Linked DNA regions of Cricetulus griseus. The protein of the gene in region 1 interacts with the protein of each later gene in a biochemical or structural test. Links are inferred from orthologs where the notes say so. Each region holds a gene or a part of one and is shown in the gene's direction. Other genes may lie near its edges.

The links. The genes of interacting proteins can lie anywhere in the genome.
Region 2: the proteins of Prmt5 (region 1) and Coprs form a complex in vitro, tested with the Homo sapiens proteins (3 studies listed by BioGRID, with this or other methods). The link is inferred for Cricetulus griseus from reciprocal best matches to the Homo sapiens genes PRMT5 and COPRS.
Region 3: the proteins of Prmt5 (region 1) and Snrpd1 form a complex in vitro, tested with the Homo sapiens proteins (2 studies listed by BioGRID, with this or other methods). The link is inferred for Cricetulus griseus from reciprocal best matches to the Homo sapiens genes PRMT5 and SNRPD1.

The regions. Positions count from the first base shown.
Region 1 is NW_023276807.1:209,733,085-209,739,287, reverse strand, and holds the start of Prmt5 (protein arginine N-methyltransferase 5), read left to right. Parts: upstream 1-2,407; 5' UTR 2,408-2,453; coding exon 2,454-2,563; intron 2,564-3,165; coding exon 3,166-3,284; intron 3,285-3,550; coding exon 3,551-3,636; intron 3,637-4,627; coding exon 4,628-4,762; intron 4,763-5,225; coding exon 5,226-5,338; intron 5,339-5,463; coding exon 5,464-5,513; intron 5,514-6,203. UniProt on the Homo sapiens protein: Arginine methyltransferase that can both catalyze the formation of omega-N monomethylarginine (MMA) and symmetrical dimethylarginine (sDMA), with a preference for the formation of MMA.
Region 2 is NW_023276807.1:66,984,418-66,990,572, forward strand, and holds the start of Coprs (coordinator of PRMT5 and differentiation stimulator), read left to right. Parts: upstream 1-2,476; 5' UTR 2,477-2,559; coding exon 2,560-2,628; intron 2,629-5,609; coding exon 5,610-5,676; intron 5,677-6,155. UniProt on the Homo sapiens protein: Histone-binding protein required for histone H4 methyltransferase activity of PRMT5.
Region 3 is NC_048595.1:225,868,215-225,874,351, reverse strand, and holds the start of Snrpd1 (small nuclear ribonucleoprotein Sm D1), read left to right. Parts: upstream 1-2,458; 5' UTR 2,459-2,601; coding exon 2,602-2,615; intron 2,616-6,137. UniProt on the Homo sapiens protein: Plays a role in pre-mRNA splicing as a core component of the spliceosomal U1, U2, U4 and U5 small nuclear ribonucleoproteins (snRNPs), the building blocks of the spliceosome.

The DNA.
Region 1 (6,203 bases):
GTGGGCAGATTCACTTCCCACAGACATCCACTGGAAAGATCTGCAGGGAGAATTGTAAATAAATTCTGCCCCCTACAGGAGAGGCCCTGTAGTTCTCCAATCCCGTGGCGTGGGCAGGGCGGTGCAGAGTGGAATCCTTCCAAAAAGTATAGCATGGAAAATTGTCATCGGTGGAGCCACTTGCTCTTGTAGACCAGGCTGGTCTCAAACTCACAGATATCCACCTGCCTCTGCCTCCCGAGTGCTGGGATTAAAGGCATGTGTCACCAGCGCCCTGCTTTCTTTCCCAGTTTAATCAAAAGAAAAACATGAGACAAGTTCCAACAGAAGGGCATTTTAACATCATCAGAAGTAACAATCATTAGGAACAAAGAACATCTGAGAGATAGTCACAGTCAACTGGAGCCTAAGGACACATTCGACTAAATGTGATGTGGTATCCTGCATAAGATCCCAGAGAAGCAAGCCGGGCGTTGGTGGTGCATGCCTTTAATCCCAGCACTCGGTTGGCAGAGGCAGGCGGATCTCTGTGAGTTCCAGACCAGCCTGGTCTCCAGAGCGAGTGGCAGGACAGCCTCCAAAGCCACAGAGAAACCCTGTCTCGAAAAAAAAAAAAAAAAACCCCAAAAAACAAAAACAAAGATCCGGGAGCAGCAAAAGGGGGGGTGGGGGGTGGGGGGTGGGGGTGGGTGGGGTGAAGGTGGGGGTGGGGGGTGTGGTGGTGAAGGTGGGGGTGGGAGTGGGGGTGGGGGGTGTGGTGGTGATGGTGGTGTGGTGAAGGTGGGAGTGGGGTGGGGTGGTTGTTGGTGGGGGTGGTGGGGTGGTGTGATGGTGGTGGTGGTGTGATGGGTTGTTGTTGTTGGTGAAGGTGGTGTGATGGGTTGGTGGTGGTGGTGGTGAAGGTGGTGTGATGGGTTGCTGTTGTTGGTGTGATGGGTGGGTGGTGGTGGTGGTACAAAAGCATCCTCAACCCCTCATTGTGAATTTTCTTGGTTTTCTGGTTTCCTGGCTGTTCTTGGGGTGCGGGGTGGGGGGGACTTACGTTACCCAGGGTTCCTTAGAGCCTATTTTCTCCACGCCTTCCTGTGTTGCTAAGAGCACTGTCCTCCATAATCCATGGTGACCTCACTAGTCAAGACTCCTGTCTGGAAACGTCCAAATACGTGTGGTTCAGATCATTGTCCCTGCAGCTCTCTATCACACGGCGCTCTCTGGATGGCCAGTCTGCACCCCGAACCCCAAATCCGATTCTCCCTGAACTCTCCCACTTCAAGGGCAAAACGCTGCTGCGTGGCATTACTATTTCCCCCTCCCGGTTCCTTGCTACCGAGTCCCTGAATTCTGTCAGTGCCTTTTAACTTTTTTGTTTATTTGTTTGTTTGTTTGTTTTGTCAAAGCTGACACAAGGCAGAGGGAACTTCAGCTGAGAAAATGCCTCCACAGATTGGCCTGGAGGGTCCTCAACGTCTGTGGGCTTCTTGCCTCAGGTACGTGTTTCCCGTTCCCTTCCGAGGTTCTTCCTTGCCTGTGCCATTTCCTTCTTTTCCAGCTGTTGACAGGGGGAAACGTAGGTTCTCTCGGCCCTCCGCGAGGCAGTTTCATGACTCCTGGGCACTGTAATCGCTCATGAATTCCTTTTCTCTGAGGGGTGCGCGCGCGGGCAGGTGTTTCTTTACATCTGTGCTTGAGACAGAATCACTAGGAATTAGTGGCTAAGTTACTACAGAGTATTTTTTAAGTGTAGTATTTTTTAAGCATAGTAATGAGACAAAGCTCATCTTAATAGTCCATTCACCGAAATTTTCATGCTCAGATTCACTTAATTATACAAGAAACAGCTTTGAAAAGAGGAATGAGACACGCCAGCATGGGATGGCTGAAATACCGAACCAGGTTAAGACCTGGAAATGACAGCGTAAGCAGATAGTGAAGGAAGTACAGCGGTTGTGAGACAAGAGCAAAACGTTACAGGACTAGTGGGGTTTAGGAACACTGGGTTAGCAAGGGATGCAAATAAAGGAGTACCAGTCCCAACGAGCCAGCCAGGAGTCGAACCTGGAATCTTCTGATCCGTAGTCAGACGCGTTATCCATTGCGCCACTGGCCCGCAGACATTTTGTGGTAGCCCAATGATAGTACTTCAGGCTAACTGCAGGGTTGCATGGGACCTGTAGTCTTTCTCCGGAGTGCTTCAGACGGATGCGGCATTCTGGGAGATTGCAGAGCCTCAGCAGTGACGGCCTGTCATTGGTCGAGCCGGGGAGCCACGCCTACGTCACGGTGCGGCCTGTGGATTGGCGGGAGCGGCCGCTCGGTCCCTCCGCCTCCGCTCGGGAGCTGCGAAGACGCTCTGGTTGTTAAGGCGACTTGTCCCGCCTCCCGGGGACTGCTCTCGGCGTTGTGATTGGTCCCTAGTAGCAAGGAATCCCGGCGTGGGCCGCGCGAGGGAAAAGATGGCGGCGATGGCAGTCGGAGGTGCCGGTGGCAGCCGCGTGTCCAGCGGGAGGGACCTGAATTGCGTCCCCGAAATAGCTGACACACTGGGTGCTGTGGCCAAGCAGGGGTGAGGAATGCGGGATCCAAATTGGGGACCAAGGAGGGCAGACTAGTTCCCCGCAGGGGATGAGGGCTGGAGACACCATTACTCCTTGAGTGGGGACGACTTCGGTTCCAGGAACGAGAGGATGAAACTCTGGGAGGCGTGTGGTCACCGAGTTCAAAAGTCAGGGGAGTTGTTGGGTAAATTAAAGGCGGGACGCGAGTCAGTCCGTCTAGGGCCTTGGAGGCTAAGATTATTTGAGAGGAGAAAGAAGTATTTTAAGGGGGCAAACGAGAGAAGAGGTTAATCTGGCTGGGGGAGGCATGGCAGTATTGGGACAAATCTGGATTTGATAGCCCTGGAAAGCCAGTGTTATCAGGGAAGAAAGAATGCTATTTGCCTTGGATGTCCTTCTTTTCTCAGTCATCTTTCATGGCTATGTTTTGGGAAGAAATTGATGCACAGTGCAGAGAAAGTTAAATGTCCCAAGATGGGCTGAACTCAGTAGCCCCGGGGGGTGACTGATGGCTTTATAGAACTGTGCAAAATCAAGATAGTTTAAACCCAGTTGGTTGATCTCTGGGTCCTCACTTTCCATGATAATTCTGAGTCTGTCGCGGTTGTAGGTTTGATTTCCTCTGCATGCCTGTCTTCCACCCGCGTTTCAAGAGGGAGTTCACTCAGGAACCTGCTAAGAATCGACCTGGCCCCCAGACACGATCAGACCTACTGCTGTCAGGAAGGGGTAGGGACCATCCCGTGTGCCCCTTGATTGTTAGAGGCAGTAATAACTTCTGCTTTATAGGTCTTCAATTCCCTCCTTTTCTGACTTGGTTGTACTGGCTAACCCCTGTGATATAGGTAACTCCCCCATTCTTCAGGCTATCCCTGTATCTGAGAGAAAAAGGCTTGTTTTCATCTCTACTCTATTTCCTGCTGAGAACTAGAAATTGAGCAAGAAAATGCCAGACCTCATTGAGTCTTTGTCTTTTCTTGGGTGGGGGAGTGCAGACTGGAATACGCTAATTGTGGGAAAGCTTTCTCCGTGGATTCGTCCAGACTCCAAAGTGGAGAGGATCCGAAGGAACTCTGAAGCGGTAAGGCTGTTTGGTTTTTCTGTGGGGTCCTTTTTTTTTTTTTTTTTTGGTTTTTTTTTCGAGACAGGGTTTCTCTGTGTAGCTTTGGAGCCTATCCTGGCACTCGCTTTGGAGATCAGGCTGGCCTTGAATTCACAGAGATCCGACTGCCTCTGCCTCCCAAGTGCTGGGATTAAAGGCCTGCGCCACCAACGCCTGGCTCTGACCTAGGTCTGACCTAGGTGCTGTGACCCACCCCTACCTGTAACCTCAGTGTTGGGGAGGCATTCCACACCGGAAGATAATGAGGGAGGATTGAGAGTTCCAAGCCAGAAAAGAAAAGGAGGGTGGGAAAAAAGGAAAGAAATTAGTTCTGTCATCAAATTGGGTTAGGAGAGTAACTCCCACTCCCCAGAACCTGGTAAATCAGAGTACAGTTAAGAGTCTGACCCTGGGTGTGGTGACTCACATCTGTAACTCAGCAGAGGCCATCCTCGAACTGAGTTGGATGCCAGCTTGGTCTACAGAGAGAGAGTTCCCGGCCTGTCAGGGCTACATACTAAGACCCTATTTCATTCCAGTTTTAATGTATGTGCTGCTGAAGTGAGCATATGATCCTGTTGCCCTCTTCAAAACAAAAAAAAAAAAAAATAGTTTGAGTTCAAGACTAGCCTGGTCTACATAGTTCTAGGATAGTCAGGACTATGTAGACAGACCCTGTCTCAAAAAGACAAAAATAACTGAGCAGTAGTGGCATCCGCATTTAATCCCAGCACTTGGGAGGCAGAGGCAGGCGGATCTCTAAGTTCGAGGCCAGCCTGGTCTACAAAGCTGGGTTCCAGGACTGTGGAGGCTGAGTGAGGAGGATTGCCTCCAATTCAAGGCCAAATTGAGTTACATAGGGAATTCCTGACAGCCTGGGCCACAATACCAGATCCAGTTTAAACTCCTCTCTACCCAGGAAGTATTTGGTTCCTAGTTCTTAATGGCTTTTTCTTTCCATGTGTTTCAGGCTATGTTACAGGAGCTGAATTTCGGGGCATATCTGGGTCTTCCAGCTTTTCTGTTGCCCCTGAATCAGGAAGATAACACAAACCTGGCCAGAGTTTTGACCAACCACATCCATACTGGCCACCACTCTTCCATGGTAGGCTTCTGTGCTGCTGAGTATCATGATAGTCAGCTGTGTGAAGTGACTTTTGCCTAGTTATGCCCCAGTGCTTTTGGCCGAATTGAAATGTCAGTACTGCCCATCCCACCCAACCCCCAATTTTGAAGTGGCATGGAGAGAGCTTCAAGCAGAATCTATGGGCTTAGAGGTGCAGCTCAGTGGTAATCACTTGCCTAACATACATGAGCCTCTGGGTAAGAGTCTTAGCACTATAAAACAATGCCAAATCATAGAAAATGCTTGTTTCTAGCTAAAATAAAAGACAAGGGAGGTATTTGCATAAGGATGTGTATAAGATATTAAACACGGATGTAATCAAATTCAGAAGGGCATATAAAGAGATTAACTTGAGATCTGGATCAAGATCTTTTGAGGGAAGCTTTCTGGACCCAATTAGTTGAAAACAGTGTTCTAACTAATGGTAACTGTTCATATGCAGTTCTGGATGAGGGTGCCCTTGGTGGCTCCAGAGGACCTGAGAGATGATGTCATTGAGAATGTCCCAACTACACACACAGAGGAGTACAGTGGGGAAGAGAAGACGTGGATGTGGTATGTCTCCTCTTGGCGCTTTACCTGTATGGGGTGGGGTAAGGAATATTGAGGAACTGGTAGAAGAGCTCCTTGAGTCATAAGCCATATGCATTTGACAGTGTTTTGTTTCTGAATCTGGGCAGGTGGCATAACTTCAGGACTCTGTGTGATTATAGCAAGAGAATTGCAGTAGGTAAGTGCACAAGGGTCCTGGGATAGGAGGAACCCCGTAAGAGTAAGAATCAGCAGGCTGGGTGCGGTGGCCCACCACTTTTCATCCCAGGGCTTGGGAATCAGAGTCCAGTAGATCTTTTTGAATTCAAGGCTAGCCTGGTCTACTTAGTGAGTTCGAGGATGGCCAGAATTATGTAGACAGACTCTATCTCACAAAACAAAGCAAAACCCCCAAATAGCCAATCGGTGGTGGTGGTACACGCCTTTAATCCCAGCACTTGGGAGGCAGAGGCAGACAGATCTCTATGGGTTTGCGGCCAGGCTGGTTTACAGAGTTCCAGGACAGCCAAGGCTACACAGAGTGACCCTGTCTTGGAAAACAAAAACCAAAAATAAGAATTTCAGTTTAGAAAGTTCCAGAACAGTCAGGGCTACATAGAGAGACTGTGGTTGTTTTGTTTTAAAACAAAAACAGCCAGGTGGTGGTAGTTCCAGCCTTTAATAATACAGGAACTTGAGAAGCAGAGGTAGGCAGATACCTGTGGGTTCAAGGCCAATATGATCTACAGAGCTAGTAGTTCTAGGATAGCTAGGGCTGTTACACAGAGAAACCCTGTCTCAGAACAAACAAACAAAAAATCCAGTAATTTCAGGCCTGGAGCAATGGCTCAGTTGAGAGCTCTATTGTGAGGACCAGAGTTCAGATACC
Region 2 (6,155 bases), about 140 Mb from region 1:
TTAAAGGCTTCGCAAGGAAAGAAGAGCACCCTGAGAGGAGTGGAGAAGGGTCTCAGCGGGGAAGGAGGGGCTCAGAAACAAAGCTGGGGGCAGAGAAGGATATTCTGATAACATGGAGGAAACATTCATCAGTGTGAATTACATCCTCTACCATAACATCAGCTGTCACTGGAGAAACAGTCAACACAGTTTTATTAGAGTTAAGTTTCACTTAACCGGTCTGGAGAGATGGCTCAGAGGTTAAGAGCACTGGCTGCTCTTCTAGAGATCCTGAGTTCAATTCTCAGCAACCACATGGTGGCTCACAACCATCTATAGTGAATCTGGTGCCCTCTTCTGGTATGTAGGCAGAACACTATATACATAATAAGTAAATCTTACAAAAAAAAAAAAAAAAAGCTTCCCTTAACAATATGTTGTTTCTCTACATCACTGAAGAATCTTAGGGGCTAGGGAGCTAGGGAGATGGCTCAGTAAGTAAATGCTTAGCACAAAAGAATAAGGACCTAAGTTTGGATCACCGGCGAAAAGCCCTGTAACAGAGCGTTGGAGAAATGGAGACAGGAGGATCCCTAATTGCCTAATCAATGAACTCCAAGTTCAGTGAGAGATGTTGTCTCAACATTTAAGATGGAGAGCAATCAAGACCTGAGGTGATTTAAATAAGTTGTTCCCCTTAGGATCACATATTTGAATGCTTAGTCACTAAGAAGGGGAACTCTGATAGGATTAGAAAGGTTAGGAGGTGTGGCCTTGTTGATGGAGGTGTGTCACTAGGGGTGGGCTTTGAGGTTTCAAAAGCTGGTGCCAGGCCCAGTATACCTTTCTGCTTGCAGATCAGAAGGCCGCTCTCAACTGCTTCTCCAGCACCGTGCTTTTTATGCCTGTTGCCCTGCTTCCTGCCATGACGGTAAGGGACTGAACCTCTGAAACTGTAAGCAAATTAAATGCTTTCTTTTGTAAGAGTTGCCTTGGCCATGGTGTCTCTTCACAGCAATAGAATGGTGACTAAGAGAGACACCCTATTGTGACCTCTGGCCACCCTTGGGTTATTGTATTGCTATATACAGTTCTCCCCATTGCATATTATAAAATATGCATAATCAATTCATAGAGTTGTAGTTAGTTGTGATGGCCACATTTACCAATTTATATCTGAAATTAAATAATTGTGTTTCTTTTCATATTGACGATATTTTAAATGCTAGGTAAACACGTGGTTACCATAGTGACAGCACAGATCAAGAGCTTTTATTTCTGCCATTGAAGAAGAGTCCCTGGGCAGTGCTGACTTGGAGTCTGTTAGATTTGAAGAAATAACAACGGAACAGAACACACATGAACTGGTCATACTCCGTACTATGTAAAGACTATGTAAAGAAAAAAGAATAACATAATATGAATCAATTTTATCTGCATAAAAAAGATGTTTAGCCGGGCGTTGGTGGTGCACGCCTTTAATCCCAGCACTCGGGAGGCAGAGGCATGCGGATCTTTGTGAGTTCGAGGTCAGCCTGGTCTCCAGAGCGAGTGCCAGGATAGGCTACAAAGCTACAGAGAAACAAAACAAACAAAAAAAGATGTTTAATGCCTTATGGCAACATACTATTTAAGGGAGATGAAGATGCTGGTGTTCCAAACAATGTCATAAGGAATCCCAGCTTTCCTGATAACCATGCCTTCAAGTAGTTTGTTGCTAGAGTTTAAGTCATGCTGGGGAGGGTGGCAGTAAAAGCTGTCTGTACAGCTGGGTCATTCAAATCCATGCATCCATCCAAACATACATACACACATGTACACTCTACCTGCAGCTAGCTGCTGACTTTTGTCTCCGAGGCAACAGGGAAATAACCAGATTGGAGACATTGCCCATTGAAAGATGGAGATTTGGTCAATTTCTGCTGCCCAACTGTTACTGAACTCGGGGGTCACAATCTGAGCCCCAAGTCAGGTTCAGGTATCCATCCTCAATAAGCCATTAAAAACAGCCAAACTAATCGTGGGAAGAAGAAAATGGAGAGTTATCCAACGTAGTCACATTACTTACTTGGGGCACAGGTTGTGACTTCCAAGTTCAATAACACAAACCCAGAATGTTTCTGGGGAGCACGTTGACTTCAAAAGCGATCAGTATGCCAAGCTGACAAGTCTCCAGGCTGCTGAGTTATTTTACTCATTATTGGATGCTGTGGTCCTGGTGCAGCCTGAAATCTGGAACAGCCTGCGATGGGGTGGAGTGAAAAGTGATGGAGCAGCAGCGGCTCTGACCGTGTCGACGTCTGGGCTTTCTAAGCTTTCGGGTGGACTCTGGTCATTTAATAGTGCGATGGGGAAGGCACAGTGCCCAGTCCGCCGCCATAAGGCTCTAAACCAGAGATGTCAGAATGAGCTCGGGAGCCTGTGGTCCCGGCACGATGCAGGTGGGCGTGTCGTCCGGCACCGCTGCCCCTGCGCCGCCCCGCCCCCTCGGTGGCTGCTCCGCGCCGATTGGCCCCTCTGCAGCTTGTGGGCCGTCACGTGCCGGAGTGTCCCCGGTCGCCTAGCTGTGGGCGGCGGGGCATGGACCCTCAGGAGGCCACCGGTCAGGGGTCCGGCGAGCCAAGTGCGCGGCAGGTCCCCAACGCGGAGGTAAGCGCCACGGGGTGGGGAGCGCGGGCCCATGCGATCCCCCGGGCTGGAAGCCGCGGGGCTCGCGCGCTTCGGGAAGGCCGCTCACTCGGGAAACGCCGCCCCCCCCCGCGAGCACGCGCAGAGCCGGGCCGTAACGGCGGGAGCGCGCGGGGACCTGGGGTTGTAGCAGGCACTGGAAGGAGAAAGAGGGAAACTGGGGCTGCTCGGGAGCCTCTGTGGCAGGAATGGAGGGAAGGTGGAGCTGGGGGCCGGGTCAGATGGGAGCGACGAGGAAACGGACTTTTTTTTTTTTTTCCGAGACAGGGTTTCACTGTAGCTTTGGAGTCTATCCTGGCACTCGCTCTGGAGACCAGGCTGGCCTCGAACTCACAAAGATCCGCCTGCCTCTGCCTCCCGAGTGCAGGGATTAGAGGCGTGTGCCACCAACGCCCGGCTAGGACTTTTTTTTTTTTTTTTTTTAACCTTGAGGACCTCCGGCCGTTGGTGGGGATGTGCAGCTGACCTTGGACGTTAGATGTCACCGGTTCTTTTTCCCATTTGATGAAACGGAAAGGCCCCTGGTGACACGGGGTTTCCAGAAACTTCTTTTTCAAGTGGGTGCAATACAGCGGTTTCCTATGACCTGCCCTTAAGCAGCGACCATCTCCATCTACAACAAGCTTGACTGTAAATAGGCGTCCTGTTTACCAGAAGACACACCATGTGCCTGACACAATGTGTATGCTAATTGGGTGCATGAATGGAATGCTTGCTTGAGCATCCAAGATGGTACTTGCAGCAACGGTAGCAATAGATTCGCAAAGAATATTAGTTTTACAGAAGAGGAGGGCACTAATTTTGTTAGAGAAGGCAGAGCCCCACCAAAGGCCTGGAGGTCAGAAATAGAGTAATGTTGCCTCTCACGTTCACCGACTTGCTTGAACATAGACCTCTTCCGGTAAAAGGCCTGCTCTAGGGCCCAAGCTCTGGGGTCATAGGAAAAGGCTGTATTGCACCCATTTGCTCCAACACCTTGGGGGACAGCAGTGAGTTGTGGCTACGGGTTATCACTGACCACAGGAGGTGGAATTGAATCATTAAAAATCCAGTCATGACTGGATAATGAATGTTAACTAAGGTGTGTGCTAAGTACAGGTATATGATGAAAAGTTTGTGTAAGATTGGAGAGCTAGTATGGTGATGGTGTCACAGAGTTTGGTTTGGTTCCCAGCAACCACCATAGGTGGCTCAGAGCCACCTGCAATTCCCTCTCCAAGGGATCCAACACCTCCTCCTCTTCGTACATTCACACACAAGCAAATAGATGTAAATATATAAATACATAAAAACTTTAAAAAATAAAATGAATTTAAGTCAGAGAAACATTACTTCTGCAGTCTAACAGGTGGTTTTGTTATTGTTTTTAATCATTTTTTGTTTGAATTAGAAACAAGATTGATTTACATGACAATCCCAGTTCCCTTCTCCCTCCCTCCCTTCCCTACCACCGCCCCCAACTAAAACCCTACCTATCACATACCCTTTCTTCTTGACCTGATTCAACCTTTCTGCTCCCTCATGACCTCTGCATCCTTCCTCTTCTTCCCTTCTCATTCTCATAGCCCCCTCCCCGTTTTTTTTTTTTTTTAATTTTTTTGGTTTTTCAAGACAGGATTTCTCTGTGTAGCTTTGGAACCCATCCTGGCACTCGCTTTGGAGACCAGGCTGGCCTTGAACTCACAGAGATCCGCCTGTCTCTGCCTCTTGAGTGCTGGGATTAAAAGGCGTGCGCCACCAGCGCCCAGCGGTTTTGTTATTGTTGTTGCCTTTAATTGTAGTTTTGGAGACAGGGTCTCTTGTAGCCCAGGAGCTCACTCTGTGACCAAGGACCTTGAACTTCTGATCCTCCTGCCCCCACTTCCCAAATGCAGAGATTACGAGTATGTGACATCATGCTTGCTCTTATGTAGTGCTGGAAAATCAGCCTGGGACACTGAGCATACTAAGCAAACACTACCAACTGAGCTACATCTCCAGCCTGTATTAGGTGTTTTCATAATTGTTCTGTCAACATAGGACCTCTGCAAGGTCAGAACAACCACCTCCAGTTTCCAGGGGTCACACCCTGAGCGCATGACAGGGCTCGTTGAAATCTGGCCTAATGACTCAAGCTGTAGACATTAACTGGTTCCATTGGAGAGAGATATTGAGGACAATAAAGTCTGGGGGACTTTTGAAGTAATGGGGCATAAAATTACTTGGTTGGCAGTGGGGATATAAGTGTTCCTTTCACTGTTTAGGAACTAAAACTCTGGTTCCCCACGTACCACTTGGGAGACACTGTTAAAAAGGAATTGTTAGGGGCTGGAGAGATGGATCAGTGGTTGGGAGTGCTGGCTGCTCTTCCCAGCACCCACCTGGTAGCTCACAGCTGTCTTTTTGACTCCAGTTCCAGAGGATCCAGCATCCTCACACAGACATACATGCAGGCAAACACCAGTGAACATAAAATGTAAAAAAGGAGCTGTTAGATATGAGGCCAAGTAACTGAAAAGGGGAAGGTGTGCAGAGAAGTGGCAGGTGCAGGAAACAGCTACCAATCCTGGCCAAGAAAAAGGAATGGTTAGAGCTGTTAAAATGATAGAGGAAAGGGTTTATAGACAGACCTGGAATTACAAACCCTGAGACCCAGGAGCTGTCCAGATTGGCTCTAGGGTCTCTGATCATGGAGAGGCCCTGGTACCCAGACTTCTGAAGAGGGCCCTAGATGAGATCAAAACCTGCAGCTGTCAGTTGGCCACTGCAAGAAGGCATTCTCAGTGGTCTGGGTGGAGAAGTGTTGTTGGGGTGATGCCTACGACCCCGCTATCTCTAGCCAGCAGGTGCAAGCCCCGAAGTGTGAAGGGCACTGTGGGATGGTGGGATGGTGGGCTCAGAGCGTCAAGGTGGTGACATGTCCCAGATGCCTGAGTTTCTGGTAATGATTTCTTCTTCCACAGGCAAGCTTTGCCGCAGCTGACCTTTCTGGTCAGGAGACAGAGACTGAGATGGCCATGGACCGACTAGGCAAGTAGACAGAGACTGGGGTGGATGCTGGAAGAGGTGGAGAGAAAACAGTCTGACAGTCTCTTAGTCTTGGGTACCTTTTCTTGCTAGTCAGTCCTCTTTGCCAATGAGCTACCTTCTTTGCCCATTGTTCCCATGGGACCCTCCATTTGGAAGCTTCAAGGAAGTTCTAGACTTTGTGTGGATCCAAACCACCCCATTTCACTGGGAGGAACCACACGGGGCACTGAAAAGCACACAGTATGTCACTAGAAAAATTATTTCAGGTCCAGGTTATTGTCCTTGGACTTGCATTTTTTTCATCCATAGTGAAAAATAAGTCACTTAGCCTTTCTATATCTGTAAAGTGGGCTGATGATACCCCTAGGGTTGGTTTTAGGGTTGCATGAGAAGATAAATAATTCACTAGCCACCAGCCCCTGTGTAATTATAATTAAATAAATAAATTCAGTCCCCTTTTTACCATGCTTAGTGAACAC
Region 3 (6,137 bases), on another chromosome or scaffold:
TGGACTGAATTTGCCTCCCAAATGCTGGGAATAAAGGCATTCAGCACTACAGCCTGTTGACCATGGCTCTTCTAAGCTTTTCTTTTCTATCTTTCCTTCCTTCCTTCCTTCCTTCCTTCCTTCCTTCCTTCCCTACCTCCTCCTCCTCCTCCTCCTCCTCCTCCTCCTCCTCCTCCTCCTCCTCCTCCTCCTCCTCCTCTCCTCCTTCTCTTTGTTTAGGCTACTTTTGTATAGCCCTGGCTGTCCTGAAACTCACTCTGTAGACCAAACTCAGCAATCCCCCTGCCTCTGCCTCCTGAGTGCTGGGATTAAAGGCATGCACCACCACTGACAATGCTTTTCAATTTAACATCTGAGAGACTCAGCACTAGCATATACATACAATTATACTGGGCCCACATAGCTGAGAGACAATGAATAGGTGTCAGCTAGATTATAAGATTACATGCACAAACATCTGAAAAGATGATGATGAACTTGAGGAATTGCGAGACTTTAGACATTCCTGTGTTACTGAAGGGGAAGAGATGGATCAAAAGGAAGGTGGGGCCCAAGGTGGAAAGGGAATTGTGAATACTAAGGAGTATCAGGTATTCAATGCTGGCATCACTGCAGTGAATGGCATGTAGAAGGTCTTCATCCTTATAAAGCATACATTTGAATGGGGGAGGCATTTCAGTTGTTCGTGACAATTAATCAAAGACTGTAGGTTTATCTCGACATTACTGAAACCATCTTGAGTGGTAACTATTACAATTACACCTGAGTCACCTGGGCCAGCTTTCCAACCATAAAATAGACAAAATCATGAGTGTGTGAAGCCTTATGGCAAGCCTTGGTCTAAGAATAGGCCTGATTCTGATCTGATACTACCTCGAGATAGACCATGTATAGCCTGACTTGGCTGAAATCACTTTTTAGGGGGATGGAAGGTTAGAGATAGAGTCTACTCATATGGTACATGATAGCCTCAAACTTGCACCACCATGCCTAGCTCTGAACTAATTTTTGCCCTATTTCATAACCCACCTGTCTTCTAACCCAAATCTCAAGTTCCTAGGTGGTTTTCTTGATACCCAGGCCCATGCTTCTGTTGTAAGTCACCCATAAACTGCACACTGCAATTCTGGGCTTGCCTGCCTCCCTCTTTGGTTTCATAGGCCTTGGGACCAGTTCCCACACATCGGGACTGGACTATTTTGTGAAGGAGAAGAAGAAGAAGAGGAAGAAGAAGAAGAGGAGGAGGAGGAGGAAGAGGGGGGAGGGGGAGGAGGAGCACATCATATTAAAGCATAAGACTGGAGATACCGGATGTTGGAGAGTGCAATAAACAGATTTTTTTTTTTTTTGCTTTCAGACACTATGTTCTCCTGAGTTCAGTATAAGTAAATAAATAATTGTAAGTGTGGTGATATTTTGTTTGTGATCTAACAAAGCTTGCCTGCAGATCAGAGTGCAGAGCTGGCCACACTAGTTAGCCACAGATGCCAGGCAGTGATGGCACACATCTTTAATCCCAGCACTCAGGAGGCAGAGGCAAGCATAGCTCTGTGAGATCTGGGATACCCCGGGATACATAAGATTGATCCAGTTTAAAAGAGAAAAAAGAGCCAGATGGTGGTGGCTCACACATTTAATCCCAATACTTTAATCCCAGCACTAGGGAGGTAGAGACAGGAGTGGTGTGGCTGGGCAGAGAGAAGCCGGAGGAGACAGGAGTCTGAGGAGGCAGTCAGTCTGAGGACAGGATGGCCCCTTTGGTCTGAACATTGGTAGAGGTAAGAACTCTAGTGGCTGGCTGTTCTGCTTCTCTGACCCTTCAGTTTTTACCCCCTGTCAGCCGAGTCTGAGGCTTTATTAAGAACAATTAGAATTCATGCTCCATGTAAGAATCAAATATAATAAACTAATATTATCCAATCTTCTTGGGATAGTGGAAATTATCTGCACTGTAATCAATGATACATATAGATTTTGAGTAGTTACGATGTGGTTATTGCAAATAAGGAGTTGAATTGTTTTATTTAACTTCATTTGAAATATCCACATAACTTTTTAAGTCGAAGAACTTACTATATAATGAAGGTCTTATTTAAAACTGTCCTGAGAATGGCTTTCCTGTTTTTAAAAAGGTTCTCAGTAGCTCTGGGGTTATTACAAGTCCCCAAAGGAAAACTATTATATACAAAAATCTGATTGGCTCAGCTTAGTTGTCAAACCAACTAGGAGAAACTTGTCGGGCCGGTTCTCTGCTTCCAACATGTGGGCCCCAAGGATTAAAGAAGTCTTGGAGGGGTTCTCTCAGATCTTCTCTTCCTTCCAACTGTGAAAGCGCCAGGCCATTATAAATAGTTTTAAGGTGAATCCTCCTGCAGATGTCTTCCACCAGCCACGCCGCGCTCAGACGGCGCAAAGCACTCCTCCCGTCGCTAGGGGCCGCTGTGGTTGTCCCGGTGGCCGGAAGGCAGCGCGGCTTCCGCGTTTCCACCGCGGATCCGCAGGCCTCCGTGCGCTCTTCCGGCCATTCATACGCCTAGTCGGTGAGTCTTTGGAGCTCGAATTCCGTGTCCAGTAGGACCAGAGGGAGGCTGCGCCGCTAGGATGAAGCTCGTGAGGTGAGGAGGCTCTCCGGGCGGGCCGAAGGCGGCGGGGACAGGGTTTGGGCGGGCTCAGGAAGCCGGGCCTCTGCGCCCTCAGGGAGGCGGGAAAGCCGCGTGCGCGCGGCCTGCTAACGGCCCCCGCGTCCGGGCCCGCCGCGCCCTTCTCGTTGCTGCCGGCGAGGAGCCGGCGCGCCCCGGCCCTGCGCGTCTTCCAAGAATGGGGGAGCCGAGCGGTTTCTGCTCGCCTCGTTTCCTGCGGCTTGAACGGAGCCGAGGCCGCTTTCCCTGGCCAGTCGGGCTGCTTGCACGGACGAGAACTCCAAAGCAGCATGGTTTTATCTGCAAACAACGACGCCGATCTGCTAGACGTTTTAGATAAAGTTCTCCTTTATTTTGGATCGGTTGTATGTAACTGGTTAATGTTGGCTTTCGACTCACGACAGTGTCCCAGGATGGGGCAGAAGTTAAGTTAATTTCGCCTGATTGCAGATTGTGTCGGTTAGTGGAGCTTTGTTTGCTGGTATGAATACTTCCAAACCAAATAGGCATTAGGCAGAGCCCGAAACAGGGTTTAATGCCTAAGCCAGTTAGAAATATTTAGTTTCTTGTTGAGTCAAGGACTGCTTATAGTCACCTGTTAAAAGTAGTGGTACGAGATTTTTCTTTGTGGTTTTTCGAGACAAGGTTTCTCTGTGTAACAGCCCTGGCTGTCCTGCACCTCGCCATGCTGGCCTCGAACTCAGAGGCCTGCCTGAAAAGGATTCAGTCATTATGCTGGCCTGCCCCTGCACTCACACAGTAGTACCCTGGTCAGCCCAGATGCAAAGCATCCCTTTAAAAGAAAGGTCTCTGTCCACTTATGCTCTCTTACCCGCTTTTTTTTTTCCCTCTCTCTCTTTCCTGCTGTTCCCCTGGGGCAGACAGGACTTTTCTTGTCTTTCCTGTCCTCTCTCTGTCTCTGTGTCTCTAACCCCCCTTTTTTTCTAATAATCTTCTCACTTAAGTCCTACTGCCTGGCATGATGTCCTTTCGACTGGGTCATCCTTGCCTGCCATGGAATCCACAAAGGTCCCCCACGAACATTTATCATAACACTGCCTCTGTCTCCGGAGTGTTGGGATTAAAGGCATGACCCATCACCGTCGGGCTACAAGATTTCTTTCTTTTCTGTTTAATGCTGAAGGCAGAACAGGTAACATCTGGTCTGTTTGAAATGACAAACACTCTGTTCAGGGGGAGTTGGAAGAGAAAGCATATAAGGTTAAAAAAAAAATTCCACCTGTTCTGGGGATAGCGCCTAGAGAGCTTCCAATAATCGCTCTACCTTTGACTATAGCTCCAGTTCTTTTGTATTTGGACTGTAACATTAGGTAGAAAGTCTCACAATTTAAAGTATACTCTTGCTGTTTCCCTGCTGCCTGATGTGAACTATCATGTGTTTGCAGTAACTTAGGTTTTTCCCATTTAAAGATTCTGTTACGACAGCTTTGCTTTTGGGTGGTGGTACCTGGGGTGTTACCTCGACTTCCAGCTAGCGTCCTAGGCAAGTGCTCACTCTGTTACTGATATGAACCCAGCCAGGGCTACACAGAGAAACTTCTCAAACAACAACAGCAATGGTAATAATAAGTAAGAGAATTCACAAAATGAAGGATTCACTGAAAAATTGAGACAGGATGTCACCAGGTTGTCTAGAAGTCACTCCATATCCCAGGCTGACTTCAGATTTGGGATCATCCTACTGCAGCCTACTGAATAACTGAGATTACAGATCGGTGCCTACATGTCTTAAGGGAATTTTTTTTAGCAGACTGTTATCTCCTCACCCACTCCCTTGTTTCTGAAAGAATTTCTGCTTCCTGAGTGCTGGATTAAAGATCTTCACCCCCATACTTGGCAATATAATTTTTTTTAAAGATTTTTATTTATTTATTATGTATACAGTCTTCTGCCCGAATGCCAGCAGAGGCACCAGATCTCATTCAAGGTGGTTGTGAGCCACCATGTGGTTGCTGGGAATTGAACTCAGAACCTCTGGAAGAACAGTCAGTGCTCTTAACTGCTGAGCCATCTCTCCAGCCCCCGGCAACATAATTTTTTAAGGTGGGTTCCTTTAAAAGTTGCTGAAACGCTGGACCTGTCTGGTGGTTTTTTATTATTATTATTATTATTATTATTATTATTATTATTATTATTATTATTATTATTATTATGTGCACGGTGTACTCCCAACCGCAGGTCAGAAGAAGGCACCAGATCCCATTATAGATGATTGTGAGCCACCATGTGGTTGCTGGAAATTGAACTCAGAACCTCTGGAAAAGCAACCAGTGCTCTTAACCTCTGAGCCACCTCTCCATCCCCTGAGTGTTTGTTGTAGTCCAGTGTCACCTATAGAAAGGGCCTGCTGCTTTCCTTCATAGTAGAATAGTGGTGAGAATGGAACAGATAATATTACTTGTGCAGTTTGCTGTAGTAGTTTACAAAGGATATTGTAGAAAGATAGACTAGAAAATCTGAATATGAAGTGTTGTTAGATGCTATTGTAGGATTATCTTTCCATGGCCATTTGGCTAAAATAAAGCATGGGTGATGCTGTAGAATTATTTCACTGCATGTAATTGTGGTATTGTGAATTACAGACTAGGAAGTCAGAACATGAGGGGTCTGCTAGGTGCTGCTGTCCAGTTATTGCATGCAATTGTGGTGTTAGGTTTACTTTGGGAGAATGTCCTCACTAATGACAACATCTTACTTTTAGATGGCAAGGTGAAGCTGTAAATACTGAAGAGAAAGAAAGGGAGAAATGGCAACATTTTGATTATCAGTTTTCTTCAATGACAGTATATCGTAATAAAAAAATTATGGCAGAGGTAGAGTAGCTGAAATGAAGGCGACAGATTATTCGTCATGCATTGGCACAACTGGGGACAATTATAAAGGCAGATTTGTTCCTTAGAACAGACAAGAAAGAGGAGAATTCCTGGTGAGCTACATTTCTAAAATATATAAAAGTAAAAGAAGAACACTTTTGCAGTCCTGGTGTGGGAAACATCATCTTAAAACCTGAGTTCCAGAAGGGCCATTACAGAATAAAATGGAAAGAAAAAAGCCAGGGGGCTGGAGAGATGACTCAGGTTATGAGCACTGGTTGCTCTTCCAGGGGATCCAGGTTCAATTCCTAGGACCCACAGCTGTCTGCAGTTGCAGTTCTGGGAATCTCTGATGACCTCTTCTGGCATCTGTAGGTACCAGGAACACATGTTGCACACATACATCAAACAGGCAAAACATTCACACAAAAAATTTAAAAAATTTTGTTTGTTTTTCGAGACAGGGTTTCTCTGTGTGGCCCTGGCTGTCCTAGAGCACTCTTTGTAGTCTGGCCTCAAACTCACAGAAATCCACCTGCCTCTGCCTCCCAAGTTCTGGAACTAAAGGTGTGCACCACCTGGCTTGAATAACATTTTTTTAAGGTAAAGAAAAAAGTCAGGTGTGGTGGCATGCACTTGGAGTTTGTACTCTTGAGTGATGGAC